Stegostoma tigrinum: one gene and its partners. The protein of the gene in region 2 purifies or fractionates together with the protein of the main gene of each other region. This does not show direct contact. Links are inferred from orthologs where the notes say so. Each region holds a gene or a part of one and is shown on either strand. Other genes may lie near its edges. The genes, in order: sorting nexin-30, snx4 and snx7.

Region 1 (7,850 bases), on a different chromosome or scaffold from region 2:
GATTCCTCTTCTGAGTAGTCTTTATGATATAAATCCTTAATTGTCTCAACTTTTTGTTGTAATTCCATTAATCTTTCAGAACCAAACACCTCTGCCTGATCCTCATAGGTTCTTACTTTACCATCTCAACAAACAGGTTATCAGCTAAGTGGACCTCAACTCCATCATCTTTCTCTTTTGTTTCCCCTTTTTGTTTTAACTTACGACTACGGGGTCTTGTTACCACACAGTCTGGAAAAATCCCAGGCTATTTTTCTTTTAAATATTCAGCTCCCTGGTTTTCTTCTGGCTTTTCCACAACAATGGGCTTCACTCCCACCTGTGATCCAGCAATATGGTTTCCAAGAATAAACTGTATTCCTGGAATAGAGATAATGGGAACTGCAGATGCTGAAGAATGCAAGATAATAAAGTGTGAAGCTGGATGAACACAGCAGGCCAAGCAGCATCTCAGGAGCACAAAAGCTGACGTTTCGGGCCTAGACGCTTCATCAGAGACTCTAGGCCCGAAACGTCAGCTTTTGTGCTCCTGAGATGCTGCTTGGCCGGCTGTGTTCATCCAGCTTCACACTTTATTATCTTGTATTCCTGGAATAGCCAATTTTTCCATCACTCACACTATTGCTTTCCCAGTCTTGACTGGACTTTCTAGCCTTATTTTACACAGGGGAACACTACTCCTTTCTCCATTTATTCCACATTTTACCACTCTCTTGGGCAATATTTCAGAAGAAATATAAATATTTTCATCTCTTTTCATCAGACTGACTACCTTCCTTACCTTCAATATTTTAACTTCTTTACTTTTTCCTCAGTTCTACCTGAGTTGAAGTCTTTGAAAAAGTTGGGCACTATCTTACTATCTAGCCTGTGAGTAGGCTGTACACTGTCCTGCAGCCCCTTGATTTCCCTTGGGATTTCCTTCACTATCTCAACTAATCCCACTGATTCAGCTTCTTCTACCACATCCTTTTCCCCACTGCCTTTCTTAATCCGTTAACTCTGTGACTTGGTGTGTCCCACCCTATTGCAGTGAATCCACCTGAGATCTTGCACCTCTTTTTCACCCTCTTGGGTTTCTTTTTCATATGTGGTAAACTGTTTCCAGTGTGATCTACTTCTTGTTGTTCATTGAACCATCTCCCTCTTTCCCAATTTCTATCCATCACAGAATGAAGTTGCTCGCAAAAGCTAGATTTTGTTTTATGCATAAATAAATATTCATCTGCCATCTCTGCAGCTCTTCTCGCTGTTTTAACTTTCTGTTCCTCAACATGAGTTCTTATCATTTCTGGAATTGAGTTTTTAAACTCCTCCCAGCAGAATATCTCTAAGATCCTCATGTGTCTTTGCTACCTTTAATGCTTTCACCATCTATCAAAGTTGCTCTGCTAAAAATACTTTCAAACTCGATATAAGTCTGACCTGGTTCCTTTCTTACATTTCTGGTACCAATTCGTAGGTACACAAAATAGCCTGTTTTACTTCTTTATACGTTCCTGATACTTCCTCTGAGAGCGCTGCTCACACCTCACCAGTGCTGTCTACCAAATTAGTCTGAATTAACGTTACCCACACAGTCTCTGGCCAGTTCCTCTGTTTAGTCAATTTCTCGAAGGAAATAAAAGAAAGCTTCTACATCTTTTTGATCACATTTTGGTAAGGTTTGGACATATTTAAATATATCCATACCAGGCCTTTGGTTACAATGGGTATGCTCATCATCACTATCCTTCTCACTAAGTCCACCTTCTACCTTCACCTCCATCCTGTTACGTTGGCTTCCCTGTCTGTCACCTTCTGAAGGTCAAAGTCTCTCTCTCTCCCCATCTCCCTCCTTTTCGTTTTGTTCAGCTACAAACCTTCTTTCCCTTTCTTTGTCCTCTAACTCCAGGGTCTCATTTGCAATTTAATTTTTTTCTAACTCTACTGCACTTAACTGTTTCTCTGATATACCTAAATTCTTGACTAACTCCGTCACAATTTCAATTTTCTTATTATCCCAAGTGAAACCCAATTTTAGCCTGTCTACTAATTCTAAAAGTGTCACCGTCTTCTGTCTTTCTAAATTTTTTTGGCAAATTTGGGAAGCATCTTTGACCCCGAAAACCTCTTTAGCATTGTTAAGAGCTATTTTACCAACAACAAGCAACCAACATTAAGCAGATTTTTCACTTTCACTTACATTGTATTTAAAGATCAAGGATACTGGTCCTCAATTCTGTTTAAATCTGCTGGGACCTTTCATACTCTAAATCTGTTCGAATCTGTCCAAGTCTGTTCATTTCTGCCAAATCCTGAACAAACCTCCACTTTTTTATAAAGCAGAGGTTGATTCCCCTCTGAGAGCTAAAACTGAAACACCCAAAGAGGAGCACCTCATTATATAATCTGTGAAAAGAGTGTGTAAAGTGGTATGACCTGCCTTTCAGCAACTTCCAGTGGTTAAATAAAATAAATCCCTGACAGTTGCTTAAAAATCAACAAGTAACAATTCATTTACCTAATTCTAACAGTGAATGAATCAATTAAACTATTAACAAACTCCCTTCTAACTACTAACTATTCCCAAAAAAAATTCTCATGGTATGCTATTCTAATAAAAGACCCACTTGTATAAATTTAAAATAGAGTTTAGACTCTCAGCATTATAACCAGGTTACGTGTCTTCTGGAATGTTCTGTGCTTTCTCCATTGATTATTCAGTCAGGAATGCCTTCTCTGTTGATGCTTCTGTCAGAAATATTAACTAGTTGTGCCGTGGGTACTTTGTTATTTAGATGGTGCTTTCCCTAAGACATAGATGAGGCTATGAGAGCCAGTGATTCTGACTCGAGGGCTGAGGGCTGTTAGCTCTGGCGAATGGCAGTTAGCTCTCTGGGTTTTGTCCAACTGCTCCCTTTTTATACCCTTGATAGCTTATCAATATTTCTTACAATAGGGTTGGTCCCTATGATGTCAAAACCATCAAATTTAATAGGTTTTTTGGGATCTAAGTGCCTGGTTCAAATTAATTGGCTAAATTTTAAAGCTTGTTGTTTTGGTAAAAACTGCTGCCTAGCCTGCTACTGTACAGCCTTTTGATACAAATGTTTCAATTCGGATGATCTCTGTGAACTTGCAAATATTTAAACTGCCACTCGCAGACATCCATTTAACTCTCTAAGCACAGAAAAAGCACATAATCTTTTAAAGGGACCATGCGGTGCTTTCCCGCCCTAGCATTTTACTAACACCAAATTCTAACTTCCTGCATCCCATTCCAGAAGTACTCTACTGAACTTCACAAGTGAATGGGAAAATTGTATCTTTACCACCTTTAAAAGGATTTATCCTGAATGTGCTGGGTCATTGTCATCTGCTGTCCTTCAACTTGAGGTCAATGCCTACTCTTTCTGTCATGAATCCCCATATCACTGTGCAGGCCAGTGCTTAACCTGCAGATCTTTGGATACATAGAGGAGGATATCATTAAGTCACACTTCTTTCCATCTCTGTTGCTGCTCTGTTCAAATGGTGTGCTGATAATCAACAAGTTCAAACTAAACAAAGTGACTTGAAATGGACGAAAAAAAAGGTTACAACCGGAGAACAATCTATCTCTCCAAATCCTGTGAAGGCAATCTTCAGTTGCAGGATTAAGATAAATAATTGAAACAAGGTGAAAAGATGATCAGACAGAAAAAGGACACGAGCAACAGTTGCTGAAGTATTACTTATGCAGTAGCATAACAGTACAAGAGAAGTCAAATATTAGATGAGAACTAGAGAAGTAATAAGCACATTCACAGCTGAGGATAAATATTTGGAAAACAAAGAGACTTGAATTTGTATAACTTTCACAAGCAATGGATGTCTCAAAGTGCTTCATAGCCGATTATATACTTATGGAGTGTAGTCACTGTTGCAACAATTTGTGCACAGGACATTCCCACTATCAGGAATATGATAACATTTAGATAACCTATTTTTGTGATGTTGTTTGAAGGTATAAATGTTGGCCAGGGCATAAGGGATCACTCTCCATTGGTTCTTTGAAAAAAAAGTCACATGGTCTTTTACATTCATTGAGGACACAAATGGCTTCTCATCAGATTCAAATATGAGATCCCAACATTACCATTTAGGAGTGGCAGTCTTGATTTGTGTGTTCAAACTCTGAAGTGGTCCTTGTACCTGAAACCCTACACTGCAGAAGCCAGTCTACTACCAGCTAAGCCATGGAAGTCAACCATCTAAACGATCATTTCATTCAACTGTGTGCAGGGATTACATTCGATTAAATTTTTGGCCTCGAGTCATTCAGTACATTAAAGGCGCTATACAAATGCAAGCTTTTTTTGTTTTCGACATTACAATAGTACTGTACAAGACGTTCTGAGTACTTAAAGCATTCCCTGTTATAAATTTTACATAAATGCAAGTCTGTCCAATACATCTTTTTGATACATTTCACTTTTCCCACTCTTCCTCTGGGTCCGAAACGGTTTTTGTTCCCAAGGGCCAGCAGCACCACTCTCATTGCACGCCACCTGGCGGCGAGGAAGAGTCCACCGTCGCTCGCCTGCTGGCGCCACCCTGTGGTGCGGCGGAACGAGGGGCGTGTGGAACAAACAAAGAGTCAGGGGACAGTCGGGTGTAGACAAGAGCCGACGTGACGGTTGCGGCAGCAGCTGAGCGACGCTCCAGCGCCTCCTGCCGTGCCGGCGGAGAGGAGGGAAACGGATTCCCGGCCCATGCGCAGTGGCGGGGCTGCTCAAGCGTGTGTGGGGGTGGGGTGGGGCGGGGAGAAGGAGGCGGAGCTGGACCGGTGGTTTTTTTTAAATGGAGGCGGTAGAGAAACGGCGAGAAGGTGGGGCGGCGGTAGCAGTACTGGGGGGAGGCGAAGGAGGCAGCGATTCCGTAACGATGAGCTCGGCGCTTTGCAGACCGTTACCGTCCTCGGGGCTCAAGTCTATCTGCGACGTGTCGCATCCGCTGTCGGCGGAGGAGCTGTTGTCCCCCGGGCCCGAGCCTCAGCCTCAGCCTGAGCCTGAACCCGAACCCGGATCGGGAGCCGAGCCGGCGGCTAGCGGAGGGGACCAGGTGAGGGAGGGCCCCGTAACCATGGGAGACCGGCAGGGGAAGGAGAAGGATGTCGTGAGGACTGTGGTAATAGTAATGAGCATGGGATGAGTGGGGCGGGGGGGGCGCTGTAGCGTGTTTGGGGACCTGGGACTGTATGAGGAGTGTAGGGTGTGTCCTGGAGGAAAGGGTAGAGGTCGTGGTAATTGGGTGGGGAGGGGGAAGTAAAGGAGCAGGGGATATGGGCCCCGTGGGGGAAGAAAGATGGCTGTAGTGGGTCGATGAGGAGAGATAGGGGATGGGTGATAGTGTTGTGTTTTATGCGGTTGCATAGGGATTGATAGTGTTGGCCGTGTGTTTGTTTGATTATGTGGGTGAGTGGGTTTGTTTATGGCGGGGGGCTGATGGCTTGGGGGTGCCTTGAGGTGGTTTTGTTTTGTGGGTGGGGATATTGGAATGATGTGTGGTCTGTGGTTATGGATACAGTAGGTATGGTTTAGTTGATGGGGTGAGGAGAAATTGGGATTTGGGGGAATGTGGGATGTTTGGGATTGATGGAGTAGGGTTTTCTAGGATTCTCTTCCATCAATAGTGCATAGATCAATATTTTGCATTTCTAATAGCATCATTTTGGAAATGAATACTCAAAGATTTGGGTGACCCCCTGCAGTTGTAGGTGTGCAAATGCACCTGGGTAAAAGCAGGCTGAACTTGAGAGTAGGCAAGGATGTTTGAAAATGTTTAGTAGTGCAGTGAGATTACATGTGACTGCAGGAGTTGCATTTTCCTGTTCGATAGGGGATCTTTCAGTTTACCTGTGTGGAGAGAGAAAAGGTCAATACTTAAGGGTGATCTGTTTTCTGCCTGGAATTTGGCAGGCAATCCATTTGGTGATTGGTTGAAGTATAGGTTTTGGCCCCAGGACACAACTAGTGCTTGAAATAGAGCAGCTGAGTTTCCACGTTCACTGGGGATACCTCTGTTTAATATCTCATCAGGAGTGTGGTTCTTTGAGTGAGGTAAAAACTGAGTGTCAGCCTTTCTTTCTATCCAAGCTCAAATCTTTACTACAGGTGTTGATCTAGTCTTCTGATTCAGAAGCAAACATGTTGCTCACAGGCCCACAGCTGTATGTGCTGTTTTACTTCCTCATTATTTTTCTTGCAGCCCATGACAAGAGGTCAGCAATCTGAAAGTATTTTCTCTTGAAACTAATTATCTGAATAACTGTTCAGCAGTAGCCAATAGATTTGCAGTTTGCAATGCCATAGATACTTACGTTTTGAAGTTTACCTGCATTTTCCTTGTGTTTCTGCTTCGGATTCCTCTCTGTTTGCACAGAGGGCTCTTTGTCATGTAAAGTTAAATGAATCTGAACATTTTACTTTTTTCCCAAGGTGCTGTGAATCATTTAGTCTCTGGTATTCTATCTCTCATGCATGTTAAATTAAGTACTGATTTGGAAATCTATCTCTTCCTTTATGATACTCTTCTTCACCACCAACCTCTGATCCCCTCAGCCACTTATTCCTAACATGCATGTGAAAATCTGATCAGTCCTGTTTACGTTAGTTGGTGTTCATTCTGGATGTGAGATTGCTCGCTGAGCTGGAAGGTTAGTTTTCAGACGTTTCGTCACCACTCTAGGTAACATCATCAGTGAGCCTCCGACAAAGCGCTGGTGTTATGTCCCGCTTTCTATTTATCTGGTTAGGTTTCCTTGGGGTGGTGATGTCATTTCCTGCGTTTTTCCAAGGAAACCTAACCAGATAAATAGAAAGCGGGACATAACACCAGCGCTTTGTCGGAGGCTCACTGATGATGTTACCTAGAGTGGTGACGAAACGTCTGAAACTAACCTTCCAGCTCAGCGAGCAATCTCTCATCCAGAACCTCAACCTGAGCTACAAATCTTCTCAAAACTCACTTGGTGTTCATTGTTCACCCTTTTTCTGTCAGTAAAGGAAAATGGTTAACAATTTTCTGTTAACCTCTTTACAGCAGTTTAGCACATGATAAAGAATGTCTTGTAGAAAAGCCAGGAGTTTTTTTCACTTTCTCAATTATAATATAACATCCCACATGTCATGCTTTCATGTCATCTCTAGTAAAGGTATACATGATGCCTTGTGGTTATATTTGGGACAGTTTTCTCCTTTTGCATTTTTAAATTGTAGTAATTATTGATCATTTTACTCAGTGTCCTCATTTCACATTATCTGTTGGCTTTGCAGACTTTATAATTCTTCAACTCAACTCCTCTGGATGTCTTTTATAGCTGTGCTATTCATGTTTGGTTTTGTCTAAGCTTTGGAACCCTCCCCTTGCTATTTTTAAGATGTTCTTGGGAGGGGGGGGAAAAAAAAACTATTCCCTTAGCAAACCTTTGGCCACTTGTCTGGGTCTTCCTTAGTGATTTGGTCATTGACAATGCTCCTGCCAAATGCTCTTGGATGCTTGCTGTGTTGGAGGTGCTTTGTGAGTTGCCACAGAAACTGGGGTGTTAAAATGGTGTCATTATAGTTTTGGCCATGAGTTCATACATTCTTTTGCAAGATAGGCAGTAATATTCCAAAATTCACATTGAGATTACTTCAACATCAGTAGTAGTCGTAAGTTAATGGAGTTCAGCTGATGACTAGAAATATTGACAACAAGTATGCAATCTAAGGTTTTAGTCTAGTGCAGTACCATATGTTTGCACTTTGATTTATTGGAAGAATTTTTACATCTGGTCCACATGAATGTTTAAAAATGGATTTTTTGCAGGATCTCTCTTCCACTTG
Region 2 (6,958 bases):
TACAGAGCTTTGGCTGACAACAAGTAGCTGGTTTGTCTATAGACTAGGGTTCACTGAGATGATTCCTTTTGCCTCTCCAGATACTTTCACGTATTTGTAGGGGGCACAGGATGACTGGTTCAGACTTACAAGGTCTCTGACTTATTGGTTAAGAGCCACAGCTTACAGCAACTGATAACAGCACATAAACAGGCTTTCTTCAAGTTTGAGATTTTAACTACAGAGGAAAGGATCAGCTCCTTCCTTTCTGGAGGTCTAATGGTATTTGCGTAAACATTCACACCAAACAGATTTTCAGTCACCTGGGAGCCTTTCACATAGTTTTTGATCTTTTAACATTGACAACCAGTCACCAAACTGATCTCCTACTCTTCAGCTCCAGCTTATTTGCAATTAGAGTCTCCATTCCCCCTCACTCACTGCTGTATAAAGAGTGCTTACAGTGAGTGTCAGGCAAATTGCTTTTAAAATGAGCAGCAAGCCTTTGTTTTTAAAACAGTCCTTTTCCCAATTCAGTCCACAACCAGAAATACAACAATAAATATTTACTGGTCTTTGCATGGGGACAACGACAAGTTACGTGAGGAGGACACTGACAAGTTGGTGGAGTGGACAGACAGACGGCAGACGAAGTTCAACACTGAGATGTGGCAGTTCATGCGCTTTGGTAAAAAAAAGGAGAGACAATATGAAACAAAGGGTACTGTTCCACAAGGAGTGCAGGAGCAGAGGGATTTGAGTGTATATTTGCATAAATCATTAATGATGGCAGAGCAGGTAGAGAGACCTAATAATAAAGCATACAGTATTCACACGGGCATACAGTATCAGAGCATGGAGGCTACGCTTAACTATATAGGTCAGTGTTAGAAATCTCATGACACCAGGTTATAGTCCAACAGGTTTATTTGAAAACACAAGCTTTCAGAGCATCAGTCCTTCTTCAGGTGTTAGTGAAACAGGTAGAATTATACACAAAATTTACAAGTAAAAGATCAAATGTCTACACCATACTCGTTCAGTGTAAAGAAGAGTTGACATTTTACGTCAGTCAATGCATGTTAGGTATGAGGTCTTGCTTAGAATCTGCTTGTGTTTTAGTTTGGGGTCTAACTGGTCTTACTTCTAAAGTAGGAATTTATAAAAAGCCGAGCAGAGGCTGATAGCCAAGTTCGATACCAATGATGACGGCCTCAGCCGGGATCTTGCATTCATGTCGCACTACAGCTGACCGCTATACAATATACACTCTCTCACATACACTCACGCAGATCCTCTCTCATGCACAGTCTGTCTCTCAAGCATCTCTCTCTCTCCCCCACCCCCATCTCTCATACACATGCACACTCACACTCACTTTCACACAGACAAATCCAAGAGCTCATGGGGTGAATTTGTACTTGCACATACATTGTATTTTGTTCAAGAATAACACAATTTATAGACAGTCAGTCAATGTGGAGTTTTATACATTCCTACTTTAGAAATAAAACCAGTCTGACTCCAAACTAAAATAAACAGATCCTAAACAAGGCCAAGTAGCATCTTAGGAGCAGAAAAGCTGAAATTTCGGACCTAGACCCTTCATCAGAAAATGGGGAGGAGGAGAGGGTTTTGAAATAAATAGGGAGAGAGGGAGAGGCGATTGAAGATGGATAGAGGAGAAGATCGGTGGAGAGGAGACAGACGAGTTAAAGAGGTGGGGATGGAGCCAGTAGAGGTCAGTGTAGGTGGGGAGATAGGGAGGGGATAGGTCAGTCTGGGGAGGATGGACAGGTCAAGGGGGTGGAATGAGGTTAGTCGATAGGAAATGGGGGTGCGGCTTGAGGTGGGAGGAGGGGATAGGTGAGAGGAAGAACAGGTTAGGGAGGCGGGTTTTGGGACGCAGTAGTGGAGGGGAGATTTTGAAGCTTGTGAAATCCACATTGATACCACTGGGCTGTAAGGTTCCCCAGCGGAATATGAGTTGCTGCTCCTGCAACTTTCGGGTGGCATCGTTGTGGCATTGCAGGAGACCCAGGATGGACATGTTGTCTACGGAATGGGAGGGGGAGTTGAAATGGTTTGTGACTGGGAGGTGCAGTTGTTTATTGCGAACTGAGCGTAGGTGTTCTGCAAAGCTGTTCCCCAAGCCTCCGCTTGGTTTCCCTGATGTACAGGAGGCCACAACGGGTACAGCGGATGCAGTATACCACATTGGCAGATGTGCAGGTGAACATATGCTTGATGTGGAAAGTCTTCTTGGGGCCTGGGATGGGGGTGAGGGAGGAGGTATGGGGGCAATTGTAGCACTTTCTGCAGTTGCAGGGGAAGGTGCCAGGTATGGTCGGGTTGGAGGGGAGTGTGGAGCGGACAAGGGAGTCATGGAGACAGTGGTCCACCGGAAAGCAGACAAGGGTGGGGATGGAAAATTGTCTTTGGTGGTGGGGTCGGATTGCAGATGGCGGAAGCGTCGGAGGATGATGCGTTTGATCCGGAGATTGGTGAGGTGGTATGTGAGGACGAGGGGGATTCTCTTTTGGCAGTTATTGCGGGGATGGGGTGTGAGGGATGAGTCACGGGAAATGCAGGAGACACGATCGAGGGCGTTCTCGGCCGCTGCAGGGGAGAAGCAGTGGTTCTTGAAAAAAAGGACATCCGAGATGTACAGGAATGGAATGCCTCATCCTAGGAGAGATGCGGGGGAGGCGAAGGAATTGGAAATAGGGGATGGAATTTTTGCAGGAAGGCGGATGGGAGGAGGTGTATTCTAGGAAGCTGTGGGAGTCGGTGGGCTTGAAATGGATATCGGTTTCTCGGTGGTTGCCTCAGATGGAGCTTTTGTGCTCCTAAGATGCTGCTTGGCTTGCTGTGTTCATCCAGCTCCACGCTTTGTTATCTCAGATTCTCCAGTATCTGCAGTTCCCATTATCTGAGATTCTAAATAACCTAACGTTCATTGCCTGACCTAAAATGTCACTTCTCCTTTACACTGATGAAAACTTTAGTTCTCCCAGGACCATGACTTGGAAGGGAATTTGGCAATTTACATACACATGTTAATAAATTAAAACCTACTAACTGATTAAAGATAACAAGGTGTAGAGTTGGACGAACATAGCAGGCCAAGCAGCATCAGAGGAGCAGGAAAGCTAAAGGGTCTGGGCCCGAAACATCAGCTTTCCTGCTCCTCTGATGCTGCTTGGCCTGCTGTGTTCATCCAGCTCCACACCTTGTTATCTCAGATTCTCCAGCATCTACAGTTCCTGCTATCTCTAACTGATTGAGGACTTATCAGTATCTCAGTTTTGTTTAGTACATCCCCGTCAATGGGGAGAACCTTTGATATAAGGCAAAAAAAGACTTTTTACATAGCCAGTGGACCAGATTAGGTCAGGTCTGCCACAAGTGTGCTGGAGTTTGGATCAATGGAGACATTCACGAGGGCCTGAATAACTGTTTAAACAGGGAGGGGTAGGGTCAAAAGCAGAAGTTTGGCAATCAAGTTAAAATGCCCAAAGAGCCAGGGCAGATAAAATGGGGTGAATAATCTCCTTCTGCACATAATTGCTAACAGAAACAGAAATTGCCGGATAAGCTCAGCAGGTCCGGCAGATTCTGTGGATGAACATCAGGGTTAATGTTTCCGGTCGAGAAATTAGAAATAGGCATCCACCAACGTCCAAACCCCATGAAAGAATAAAACAAAACAATCTCTTTCGGCTGCGTCATACGTCCCGTTTCAAAGGGGGAGGAGAATATTTACTTCGCCCATGCGTCGCTTGTTCACACTTGCGCACCTCTTAATGACTCGGCTGTCGGAGCTTTGGAAAGAGATCTAGCGTGTACGCATGCGGGTGTGGGGACGTCCAAAAAAAGGACCTTAATGGCGCACGCGCTTGAATCCCGTGTCTTTCAATCAGCGGCACGTGATCTTTAGGTCCGCTCGTACGCTACGCATGCGCAGATGGTTCACGGAGGCCATCTTTAATGGCGGGCAGCGTGCCGGAGTCTTTTATTGTTTGATTTAGCATCCTTACACTACGTTCTGACAGTGTTCAATTCCTTCATTTGTTAGGGGTCAAGATAGACTTGACGTTGAGGTATTCCAATAGTGCATTCTCCTGCAGGTAACTGAACATAGATATCTATCGGAAAGTAGATGAACGGTCAATCGGTGTTTTTTTACTAAAAACTTCGATTGTGCGATTTTGGTATAATATGAGCGATCTTGGCAGTAGGCAGACTGAACTGGGTGCTAATGTTGGCCGGTATAGGGAAAAGCAAAGGTGAGTGTTGAATGGGTTTTGCCGTGGGTGGATCTGTGTGCCAGCTGGTCTGGGCTTACCTTTTAAACTCTCTAGCTACAAAGCTCAGCGTTGGGGCCGCCTGGAAAGAAGCTGTTGAAATGTCAAAAAAAAGCACTGACTTTCCAAGAACAAAACCAATCGGAGTCAAATGTCCTACTTTAAAACTTCGAATATTAATTTAACTAAGCAGATATTTATAGCAATAAAACCAAGCCAGCAAGAAACTGAAACGCAAACAAAACGTGCAGGAGAAACTCAGCAGCTCTGGTAGCAAGTGTAGAAAAAGCAGAGATAGTTTTAGAGTCCAGTGACTTTTTGTCAGGGGCAAGAGATAACATCCTTTAGCCCGAAATATTCCAACCTCTGTTGAAAGATTTTAGATTTAGTATTTGAACAGATTCTTAATAAGTAGCTTTGGAAGCATTTGTCATTAGTGGTTCTTAGAAAAAGCAAGGCATATTAAAACCAACATCTTTGGACATAATGCACTTATGTTGAGAATTTAATTGTCTAACTATGTTTTACTCTAAAGTACTTCTGTTGCTGTTAAATAACTTGAGTTTATTGGCAAGAATGCACTGAGAATTGAGGGACTTTTTTTCTCAATGGAAAGAGATGTTTGTCTCAAACCTCTGGCTTTAAAATGTTTAAAAAATCAAATCATCAAAAGAGAATGCAAAAGAATGTGTACCAACTAATGCTTATTTACAGTTTTGTTCCAAAAATTAGGAAGGTTTTAACAAAGTAAAATATTTGCCACAAGTGAACATTTATTCACTTTTTTCTTTGACTGAATGTAGTCTGTAAAGATTTTTTTTAGGGTGGGTGGGCATACTGGGTAAAGATCTGGTATTCTTGGTAGAAAATAAGAATAGAGATACAACTAAAATGAAACTTGCTTTGAAAATATTTTAAAACAAACATCCTCAGAAGAGCCAGTAGATTGAAAGGTTAGCACTACTGCCTCTTTGTGCCAGTGCCAGTGATCTGTGTTAGCTACCACCTTCTGGTGACGGCGTGTGGAGTTTGCACAATCTCCCCATGTCTGTGTGGGTTTTGACCAGTTGGTCAGGTTTCCTCCCACAGTCTGAAGATGTGCAAGCTAGGTGGATTGGTCATGCTAAATTGCCTATAGTATTTAGGGGTGTAGATGGGTTAAACATAGGAAATGCAGAGTTACTGGGCCTGTGTGGGATGCTCTTTTGGAGGGTCAGTCTGGACTCATTGGGCTGAGTGGCCTGTTTACACTTTAGTGATTCTGTGGAAGCTCACCTAAGCATCAAAAACATTTGGTAAACATTTTTTTTTCTTTTGAAATTACATGCTGGAAGAGGATCATGTGTCGATGCAGCCCATTGCTGTACTGTTCTGATTAGATTCTCATTGTCAGATGTTTGAGATGTTTTGTAATCCAGTCTGGTCAGATATTATAACACAGCTCTGGAGTAGGTTGGACTGGCTCAAGTAGTAACAATGCCTTTGGTACCAGAAGAACCCCTTTGTCAGGTCTTTTGCAGTCTAGTTTGCAACAATTAGGTGTTGTATAATTCTTCATTTGATGTGGCCTCCTCTGTTATTCTGTTTTTCTTGTCCACTTTTCTTCTAATGTTTAAACTAGACTGAGTTATGCATACTGTTTGCCTCGTCTGCTGTGAACTCCTTAATTTTGAGGAGCACAAATTTCAGAATATTTTCAGTGTTTGTCTGTATAATAAAACTGTGCACAGTGTGGTAAATTGCTGTACTTTGACATTAGTTTGATTTTCTTGATTTGCCGCTGGCATTGTTTCATAGACAATGTCTAAACCCTTAAACTCGTATAATAAACCTAAAGGAAATTATCTGGTCTGTATTCACCTGTCTGGTGGAGAATAATTTAAATGCAACATTAATTTTAGTAGCATCATTTGTGGATATGACTGGTATGTCTTGTCCATTTCAATTGTTTTTCAGAAAGTCATGTTAACTCATCTTGTTGAACAAAATCTATTTGGCTCTCTGGGCTATTTTTGAGTCTGCAGGAAGACTGATTTTCTTTCCCCCCTCTAAAGGATGTTTGTGAACGAGATGGATTTTTAACCAATGTTTTTTTTTTTTGTTGGTAGATGAGCCAGCATTTGCTGTCAGCCTGCTCAATGGCAGGCTGACAATGTTGAGCTGCCTTTTTGAACTACTGTAGTCCATTTGTAGACAGCTGCGTTCATAAAGCTGTTGGGGAGGGAGTTCCAATATTTTAACCAGTGATGCTGAAGGAGCAGCAATATATTTCCAAGTCCTGATGATGATGAGTGGCTTGGAGTGGATCTTGCAGCTGGTGGTGTACCTATGTATCTATTATCCTCATCTTTATAGATGAATGTGCTTGTGGATTTGGAAGTTATTGACTAAGCAGCGTTAGTGAGTTGTTGCTGTGCATCTTGTAGCTGGTGCACACTGCTGCTACTGAGTATTGGTAATAGATGGGGTGAATGTTTGTGGGTATAGTGTTAAATCAAGTGGATAGCGATGTCCTGAATGGTATCAAACTTCTTCGTCTTGTTGGAGCTGCATGTGTCCAGGTCATGAGGAGTATTCAGTCATGTGTGGCTTGTAGATGGTCAGAAGGTGAGTTATTTGCTACTGGGTAATGAGCCTCTGATATGCTCTTCAAGCTATTTATGTCTTGCCTA
Region 3 (7,916 bases), on a different chromosome or scaffold from region 2:
GAGATTATTCCAGTTTAACAGATTGTGATGTCCAAGATTCATGAGATTAAAATTTGTAAGAGTAGGACCAAATTGAATGTTAGAATGATCTTAATTTCACATGGAAAAGGTAGATTTTGGAATCCATAGCCATATTCTTCATATCATATATAAAATACCACTTTAGCCCGTACAATCATTCCAGCTGGTTCGTGACTGCCTGCGTCATAGACGTGAGTGACTCTTAGTCAGGAAATTTCAAGGCCACTTTGACTATCATTGCCCTGCATATTTGCTTCCAATATTCTTGAGTTGATTTGTAGCTCGGGGTTGGATGCTGTGGTTGGTTTGCTCACTGAGCTGGTTCATTAGTTTGCAGACTTGTATTACCCTGCTGGGTAACATCATCAGTGCAGCCTCCAATGAAGCATAAATTAATTTTATCGAAAAGAGAGATTACTGCTGTAAAATTGCTGCTGCAATCATCTGATCACAGATTGAGGCACATCCAAGACACTAACATGGAATAAAACCATTTGAATTAAAGGTAACATTTGTCTAAAGGCCTTGAAACCATACAACTGAGCCAACATCAAGGAATTTGCATCTCCTGCTTTAATTCAAATTTGAATAATAAATGCAGCTATTAGACAAGAGTTCACTGACAGTGGAACCAGACATGGGAATTTAGCAATGAACCATATTTCAGTAGCTGCTTTAAGCGGCATAGAGAAGAAAAATGACTTTGAGAATGGTCTCATGTTAAAAATTTAACATCTCAATATCTCTAATAATGTTTAAAGCACATAGTCTTTATTCTTCCTGTATACACCAGACATTCTCCTTGTATAAATTATCATCTGGGTTCTGAGTCTTTGATGTTAAAATTTATTTATTTCTCAGGATTAGTAAATCAGAAAATTCCTCTTTTCTCAGTCAAGAAAACCTAAATTATTACAAGTGTTCTGTTGTAATTGAGGTGGGATACTTAGCTTCAAAAAGTGAAAATATGTTGCAAGTGGCCTGGTGAAGATTGCAAACAGGGAGATCAAATTACCTTTTCTCACCTGGTCAATACAAGCTGAAAACCAATTCAGGACCACTCCTGCCAACCCTGGGATCAAACTATAAACATCTTTTGATCATAAGTCCATCAGTCAGTGGTCAGCATTTAGCACCCCCAAGACTCCGCAGGAGGAGGCGAGGTGATCTTGTTCAGTGGCTCCTGAGAAGACTGTCAAAGTCAATTGGCAGATTGCCTCATCACCAAAACCTCTCAATAAGCACGAAGGAGTAGCATGGTTGGCAGTGAGATGGGCACTACCTGCGAGATCTTTTATGTAGTGCAAGATCTTTTATGTACGCCTGGAGTGTCTCTCTACCATAGCATTGTGCCCTTTAAGTGGGGGTGGAACTGTCAGACATCTCCTTCCTGATTATGCCTTTGCAAAGGAGATCTAGAGATAGGTGCAGTGGTTTTTTTTCAAGGTTTGCACTGAACAGCTCCATGATGCAGGACTCTATGCACTACGGTCTGTTCCCTGGGACACAGACCAAGACAAATATTGACTGCGCTGAGAAGACAAACAACTCGGTGAATGACACTCTTTGGTCTGCCTGAAACTTGTTGGTCTTTCAGTGCAAAGAGTTGACCTTGACCAAGTATTGCAGACTGGCACATTCCGAGGTCCAGGGCTACATGCTGAGGGACACAATAAAGCTTGGCCAGCTACTGCTAAGGTGCAGTGGGGAAAGATAACCATTTTTAAGGTCTTCCTGCCAAATTACAAGGGGATACATTCAGTTATCAGACCCTTCCAGTGCCTCAAATGTGCGTAAATATGGTTCTGTACAAGTAAGAAATGCTTTGGGTTTTTTGAATCTGCAGAACATACCAAATGCTGATATAGTGGGAACTGCCGATATCTGGAGAATCTGAGATAACACGGTGTGAAGCTGGATGAACACAGCAGGCCAAGCAGCATCAGAGGAGCAGGAAAGCTTGACGTTTCGAGTCGAGGCCCTTCTTCAGAAACCCGAAACGTCATACTTTCCTGCTCCTCTGATGCTGCTTGGCCTGCTGTGTTCATCCAGCTTCACACCGTGTTATGCCAAATACTGAGGCTTGTTATTCATGTGCAAGCACTGTGCAGAAATGCTTCAGCAACTTTGTATGTTTATAAAGATTATTTATGAATAAAACATATTTTTGCAACTCTGGGATCCTTTGCAATTTATGATTGCCTTTGAGTGAACAGTACTTTTGTTTTCCAGGAAGGTCCTAACTCTCCTGCAGCAGTGTTTCAGGGATTGGCCATGGAACTGCAAAGAATGGGTAAAGTTGGTACTACAGTCCGTCAAAATGAGCAGAGGAGAATGATAACCTGTTAATCACAATGGTCTTAATAAAGGTTTCAGACTTTATGTGAACCTCCATAGAATATTGAACTCATTATCGAGGCCATAATGCTCTTCTTGTTCATATTGACTTTTAAAACAGCAACTCAAGCTGGTATAAGATAACAAAGTGTGGAGCTGGATGAACACAGCAGGCCAAGCAGCATCTCAGGACCACAAAAGCTGACGTTTCGGGCCTAGACCCTCCATCAGAAAAGGGGGAGGGGGAGAGGATTCTGAAATAAATAGGGAGAGAGGGGGAGGCGGACTGAAGATGGATAGAGGAGAAGATAGGTGGAGAGGAGAGTATGGGTGGGGAGGTAGGGAGGGGATAGGTCAGTCCGGGTAGGACGGACAGGTCAAGGGGGCGGGATGAGGTTAGTAGGTAGGAAATGGAGGTGTGGCTTCATGAGGGAGGAGGGAATAGGTGAGACGAAGAACAGGTTAGGCAGGCTGGGACGAGCTGGGCTGGTTTTGGGATGCAGTGTGGGGATGGGAGATTTTGAAACTGGTGAAGTCCACATTGTTACCATTGGGCTGCAGGTTTCCCAAGCGGAATATGAGTTGCTGTCCCTTCAACTTATGAGTGACATCATTATGGCACTGCAGGAGGCCCAGGATGGACATGTCATCTAAGGAAAGGAGGGGGAGTTGAAATTGTTCGCGACTGGGATGTGCAATTGTTTACTGCGAACCGAGTGTCAGTGTTCTGCAAACTGGTCCCCAAGCCTCTGCATGGTTTCATGTCCTCCTCGGACTGACCTATCCCCTCCCTACCTCCCCACCCATACTCTCCTTTCCACCTATCTTCTCCTCTATCCATCTTCAGTCCGCCTCCCCCTCTCTCCCTATTTATTTCAGAATCCTCTTCCCATCCCCCTTTTCTGATGAAGGGTCTAGGCCTGAAATTTCAGCTTTTGTTCTCCTAAGATCCTGCTTGGCTGCTGTGTTCATCCAGCTCCACACTTTGTTATCTTGGATTCTCCAGTATCTGCAGTTCCCATTATCTCTCAACTCAAGCTGGTGTCAATTTTCCTGTCTTTACCAAGTAATGTCCGAGGTAGTTGGCCTCCTGGAACTTCTCATCTTTGGAACCATGCTATTTTTAGTTGAGAACAAAGTACAGGGATTTTTGGAGATCCTTAGTGGGTCTGGTGATTTCTGTGGAGACAGTGCAGAGTTGATGTTTCAGATCCAGTGGCCCTTCTACAGAACCCTTCTCTATTTTGAGTTTGATGTTGTTTAATGAGGAAGGGCTAATTAATGGTGTCCCTGTGAAGAATCTTTTTGGGAAACAGTGACCACAACTTAGAAAAGTAGAAAATAACTGCAGGAATAGGCCCTTCAAGCCTGCAATACCATTTGATACTATCAAGGCTGATTGTGCAATTTCAGCATCCCATTCCCACTTTCTGTCCATACCCCTTGATCCCTTTGGCTGCAAGGGCCACGTCTAGCTCCCTCTTGAATATATCCAATAAACTAACTATAACAGCTTCCTGTGGGAGAGAATTTCACAGGTTCACAAATCTCTGAGTGGAGGAATTCTTCCACAGCTTGGTCTTAATGGCTGACTCCTTATTCTAAAGACTAAGACCCCTAGTTCTGCACTTCCCCAACATCGAGATTCTTCCCCCAAATAGCTTGTACAGACCCATCAAGATTTTATGTTTTGATAAGATTTCCCTCCCTCATTCTTCTAAATTCCAGCAAGTACAGCCCTGTCAATCCAGTCTTTCTTCATATGTCAACCCTGCCATCCCCCGAATCAGGATAGCCCATGTCTTTTTCCCACGGCACAGATGTCCAAAACTAGACAACATAGGTTTAAGGTGAGCAAGGAAAGATATAAGATGGACCTAAGGGGCATTTTTTTGAAGCTGAAGATGCTGTGTGTAGGGTCATAAGCTGCCAGTGAAGTGCTGGAGGCTCGTACTATTACAACCTTTAAAAGGCATCTGGATGGGTATATGAACAGGAAAGGAATAGAGCGATATGAGCCAAATGCTGGTAAAGGGGACCAGACTAATTTAGGATATCTGGTTGGCATTTTGTCCGAAGTGTCTGTTGTCATGCTCCACCACTCAATGACAATTGTGAAATGCCCATGGTATTAGCGTAGAGATAATGGGAACTGCAAATGCTGGAGAATCCGAGATAACAAAGTGTGGAGCTGGATGAACACAGCAGGCCAAGCAGCTCCTAAGATGCTGTGTTCATCCAGCTTCACACTTCGTTATCCGGTATTAGCATAACTGAGTCTGAGAAGGGGGTCAGGCACAGGTCTGGGTCTTGGCTGTGAGGTTGGGGGGGAAGGGAGGAGGACCGCAGGAGGTGAGGGGGCGGGGTCAGTCCGCGGGGAGTCAAAGGGCGGGGTCAGCCCATGTCTTGCCCCGTGGGTGAGGCGTCTTGGGTGAAAGGGCGGGGTCAGTGCGTAGCCGAACCGGCCCATGAGGGGGCGGGGCCGAGCGGCAGGGCGGGTGAGGGGGCGGGGCGTAGGTCGGGCTGACACATCAGCGGCTGTTGAACTGAGGGCGATGGAAAGTACGCCTTTGGCCGGCGGTAAAACTTCGAAAGCGGCCGCTCCTCACCCGCTGTCTAAGGACGTGCTGGGTTTTGAGGATGACGAGGACGATGACTTGGAGGTGTTCAGTAAGGTTAGTTTCTCTGCCCCTCCCCCCGCCCAGTACCGGAGCCCTCTCCAACTCCCCAATTAAAGTTTAGTGTAGGCGTCGGTACCGCCGACCCACCGCAGCCTGTACACTGGGGCTTGTGCCGCCGCCAAGGATCTGCTGCGATGTGAATGTGGAAACTCTTCCAAGAGAGAATTGACTTGCGGCCCTTTTTAAAGCAGTGATTTTTGTTTACACACACACTCTCGACTCTCCACTGTATCTGTCTCTTCCTTCCCAGGCGGAGCCATTCTTTATTGTTTTATTTCTGCAAACGCAATAAAACAATCAGCACAGTTTGTTGTTTAACTGCCGCATTCCATGAAAATTGGGGATTGGGAGTTTTCTGCTGCAGTCGCAGGGAGAGACTTGATGTCAATGCTTAGCAAACACCTATGCCGTGAGTGAATTCAAGTCCAGACTGCACACCCCCCGGTTGTCTGACTTTGGATTATGAGGGAGAGGGGAAAGTTCCCACTCCTTTGAAGTGCTTTTAGTTTTGAGAACTAGATAAATTGAGCCTTTTTTTTAAAAAAGCCATTTTGCCTAGATAAACTGTTTTACATATGTGCCTAGGCATGTACAAAGTAATCTACTCAATCTCGAGATAATAAAATGTGAGGCTGGATGAACACAGCAGGCCAAGCAGCATCTCAGGAGCACAAAAGCTGACGTTTCGGGCCGAGACCCTTCATCAGAGAGGGGGATGGGGGGAGGGAACTGGAATAAATAGGGAGAGAGGGGGAGGCGGACCGAAGATGGAGAGTAAAGAAGATAGGTGGAGAAGGTGTGGGTGGGGAGGTAGGGAGGGGATAGGTCAGTCCAGGGAAGACGGACAGGTCAAGGAGGTGGGATGAGGTTAGTAGGTGGCTGGGGGTGCGGCTTGGGGTGGGAGGAAGGGATGGGTGAGAGGAAGAACCGGTTAGGGAGGCAGAGACAGGTTGGACTGGTTTTGGGATGCAGTGGGTGGGGGGGAAGAGCTGGGCTGGTTGTGTGGTGCAGTGGGGGGAGGGGATGAACTGGGCTGGTTTAGGGATGCAGTGGGGGAAGGGGAGATTTTGAAACTGGTGAAGTCCACATTGATACCATATGGCTGCAGGGTTCCCAGGCGGAATATGAGTTGCTGTTCCTGCAACCTTCGGGTGGCATCATTGTGGCAGTGCAGGAGGCCCATGATGGACATGTCATCAAGAGAATGGGAGGGGGAGTGGAAATGGTTTGCGACTGGGAGGTGCAGTTGTTTGTTGCGAACTGAGCGGAGGTGTTCTGCAAAGCGGTCCCCAAGCCTCCGCTTGGTTTCCCCAATGTAGAGAAAGCTGCACCGGGTACAGTGGATGCAGTATACCAAATTGGCAGATGTGCAGGTGAACCTCTGCTTAATGTGGAATGTCATCTTGGGGCCTGGGATGGGGGTGAGGGAGGAGGTGTGGGGACAAGTGTAGCATTTCCTGCGGTTGCAGGGGAAGGTGCCGGGTGTGGTGGGGTTGGAGGGCAGTGTGGAGCGAACAAGGGAGTCACGGAGAGAGTGGTCTCTCCGGAAAGCAGACAGGGGTGGGGATGGAAAAATGTCTTGGGTGGTGGGGTCGGATTGTAAATGGCGGAAGTGTCGGAGGATAATGCGTTGTATCCGGAGGTTGGTAGGGTGGTGTGTGAGAACGAGGGGGATCCTCTTGGGGCGGTTGTGGCGGGGGCGGGGTGTGAGGGATGTGTCGCGGGAAATGCGGGAGACGCGGTCAAGGGCGTTCTCAATCACCGTGGGGGGGAAGTTGCGGTCCTTAAAGAACTTGGACATCTGGGATGTGCGGGAGTGGAATGTCTTATCGTGGGAGCAGATGCGGCGGAGGCGGAGGAATTGGGAATAGGGGATGGAATTTTTGCAGGAGGGTGGGTGGGAGGAGGTGTATTCTAGGTAGCTGTGGGAGTCGGTGGGCTTGAAATGGACATCAGTTACAAGCTGGTTGCCTGAGATGGAGACTGAGAGGTCCAGGAAGGTGAGGGATGTGCTGGAGATGGCCCAGGTGAACTGAAGGTTGGGGTGGAAGGTGTTGGTGAAGTGGATGAACTGTTCGAGCTCCTCTGGGGAGCAAGAGGCGGCGCCGATACAGTCATCAATGTACCGGAGGAAGAGGTGGGGTTTGGGGCCTGTGTAGGTGCGGAAGATGGACTGTTCCACGTGACCTACAAAGAGGCAGGCATAGCTGGGGCCCATGCGGGTGCCCATGGCCACCCCCTTAGTCTGTAGGAAGTGGGAGGAGTCAAAAGAGAAGTTGTTGAGTGTGAGGACGAGTTCCGCTAGGCGGATGAGAGTGTCGGTGGAGGGGGCCTGGTCGGGCCTGCGGGACAGGAAGAAGCGGAGGGCCTTGAGGCCATCTCCATGCGGAATGCAGGTGTACAGGGACTGGACGTCCATGGTGAATATGAGGTGTTGGGGGCCAGGGAATTGGAAGTCCTGGAGGAGGTGGAGGGCGTGGATGGTGTCACGGACATAGGTGGGGAGTTCCTGGACCAAAGGGGAGAAAATGGAGTCCAGATAGGTGGAGATGAGTTCGGTGGGGCAGGAGCAGGCTGAGACGATGGGTCGACCAGGGCAGGCAGGTTTGTGGATTTTGGGAAGGAGATAGAAACGGGCCGTGCGGGGTTGGGGAACAATGAGGTTGGAGGCTGTGGGTGGGAGGTCCCCTGAGGTGATGAGGTCATGAATGGTGTTGGAGATGATGGTTTGGTGCTCGGGTGTGGGGTCATGATCGAGGAGGCGGTAGGAGGTGGTGTCGGAGAGTTGGCGTCTGGCCTCGGCGATGTAGAGGTCAGTACGCCATACTACCACTGCGCCACCCTTGTCTGCGGGTTTGATGGTGAGGTTGGGGTTGG

The links.
Region 1: the proteins of snx4 (region 2) and sorting nexin-30 purify together in Homo sapiens (co-immunoprecipitation; 4 studies listed by BioGRID and IntAct, counting the BioPlex papers as one, with this or other methods). This does not show direct contact. The link is inferred for Stegostoma tigrinum from reciprocal best matches to the Homo sapiens genes SNX4 and SNX30.
Region 3: the proteins of snx4 (region 2) and snx7 purify together in Homo sapiens (affinity purification with mass spectrometry; 3 studies listed by BioGRID and IntAct, counting the BioPlex papers as one, with this or other methods). This does not show direct contact. The link is inferred for Stegostoma tigrinum from reciprocal best matches to the Homo sapiens genes SNX4 and SNX7.

What each region holds. Positions count from the first base shown.
Region 1 is NC_081356.1:32,264,385-32,272,234, forward strand, and holds the start of sorting nexin-30, read left to right. Parts: upstream 1-4,803; 5' UTR 4,804-4,824; coding exon 4,825-5,085; intron 5,086-5,091; exon of another isoform or gene 5,092-5,106; coding exon of another isoform or gene 5,107-5,151; intron 5,152-5,306; exon of another isoform or gene 5,307-5,432; coding exon of another isoform or gene 5,433-5,438; intron 5,439-5,530; exon of another isoform or gene 5,531-6,083; intron 6,084-7,850. UniProt on the Homo sapiens protein: Involved in the regulation of endocytosis and in several stages of intracellular trafficking. Together with SNX4, involved in autophagosome assembly.
Region 2 is NC_081360.1:66,184,668-66,191,625, reverse strand, and holds the start of snx4 (sorting nexin-4), read left to right. Parts: upstream 1-3,931; 5' UTR 3,932-4,109; intron 4,110-6,958. UniProt on the Homo sapiens protein: Involved in the regulation of endocytosis and in several stages of intracellular trafficking. Plays a role in recycling endocytosed transferrin receptor and prevent its degradation.
Region 3 is NC_081361.1:81,509,254-81,517,169, reverse strand, and holds the start of snx7 (sorting nexin-7), read left to right. Parts: upstream 1-4,866; 5' UTR 4,867-4,913; coding exon 4,914-5,033; intron 5,034-7,916. UniProt on the Homo sapiens protein: Involved in the regulation of endocytosis and in several stages of intracellular trafficking. Together with SNX4, involved in autophagosome assembly by regulating trafficking and recycling of phospholipid scramblase ATG9A.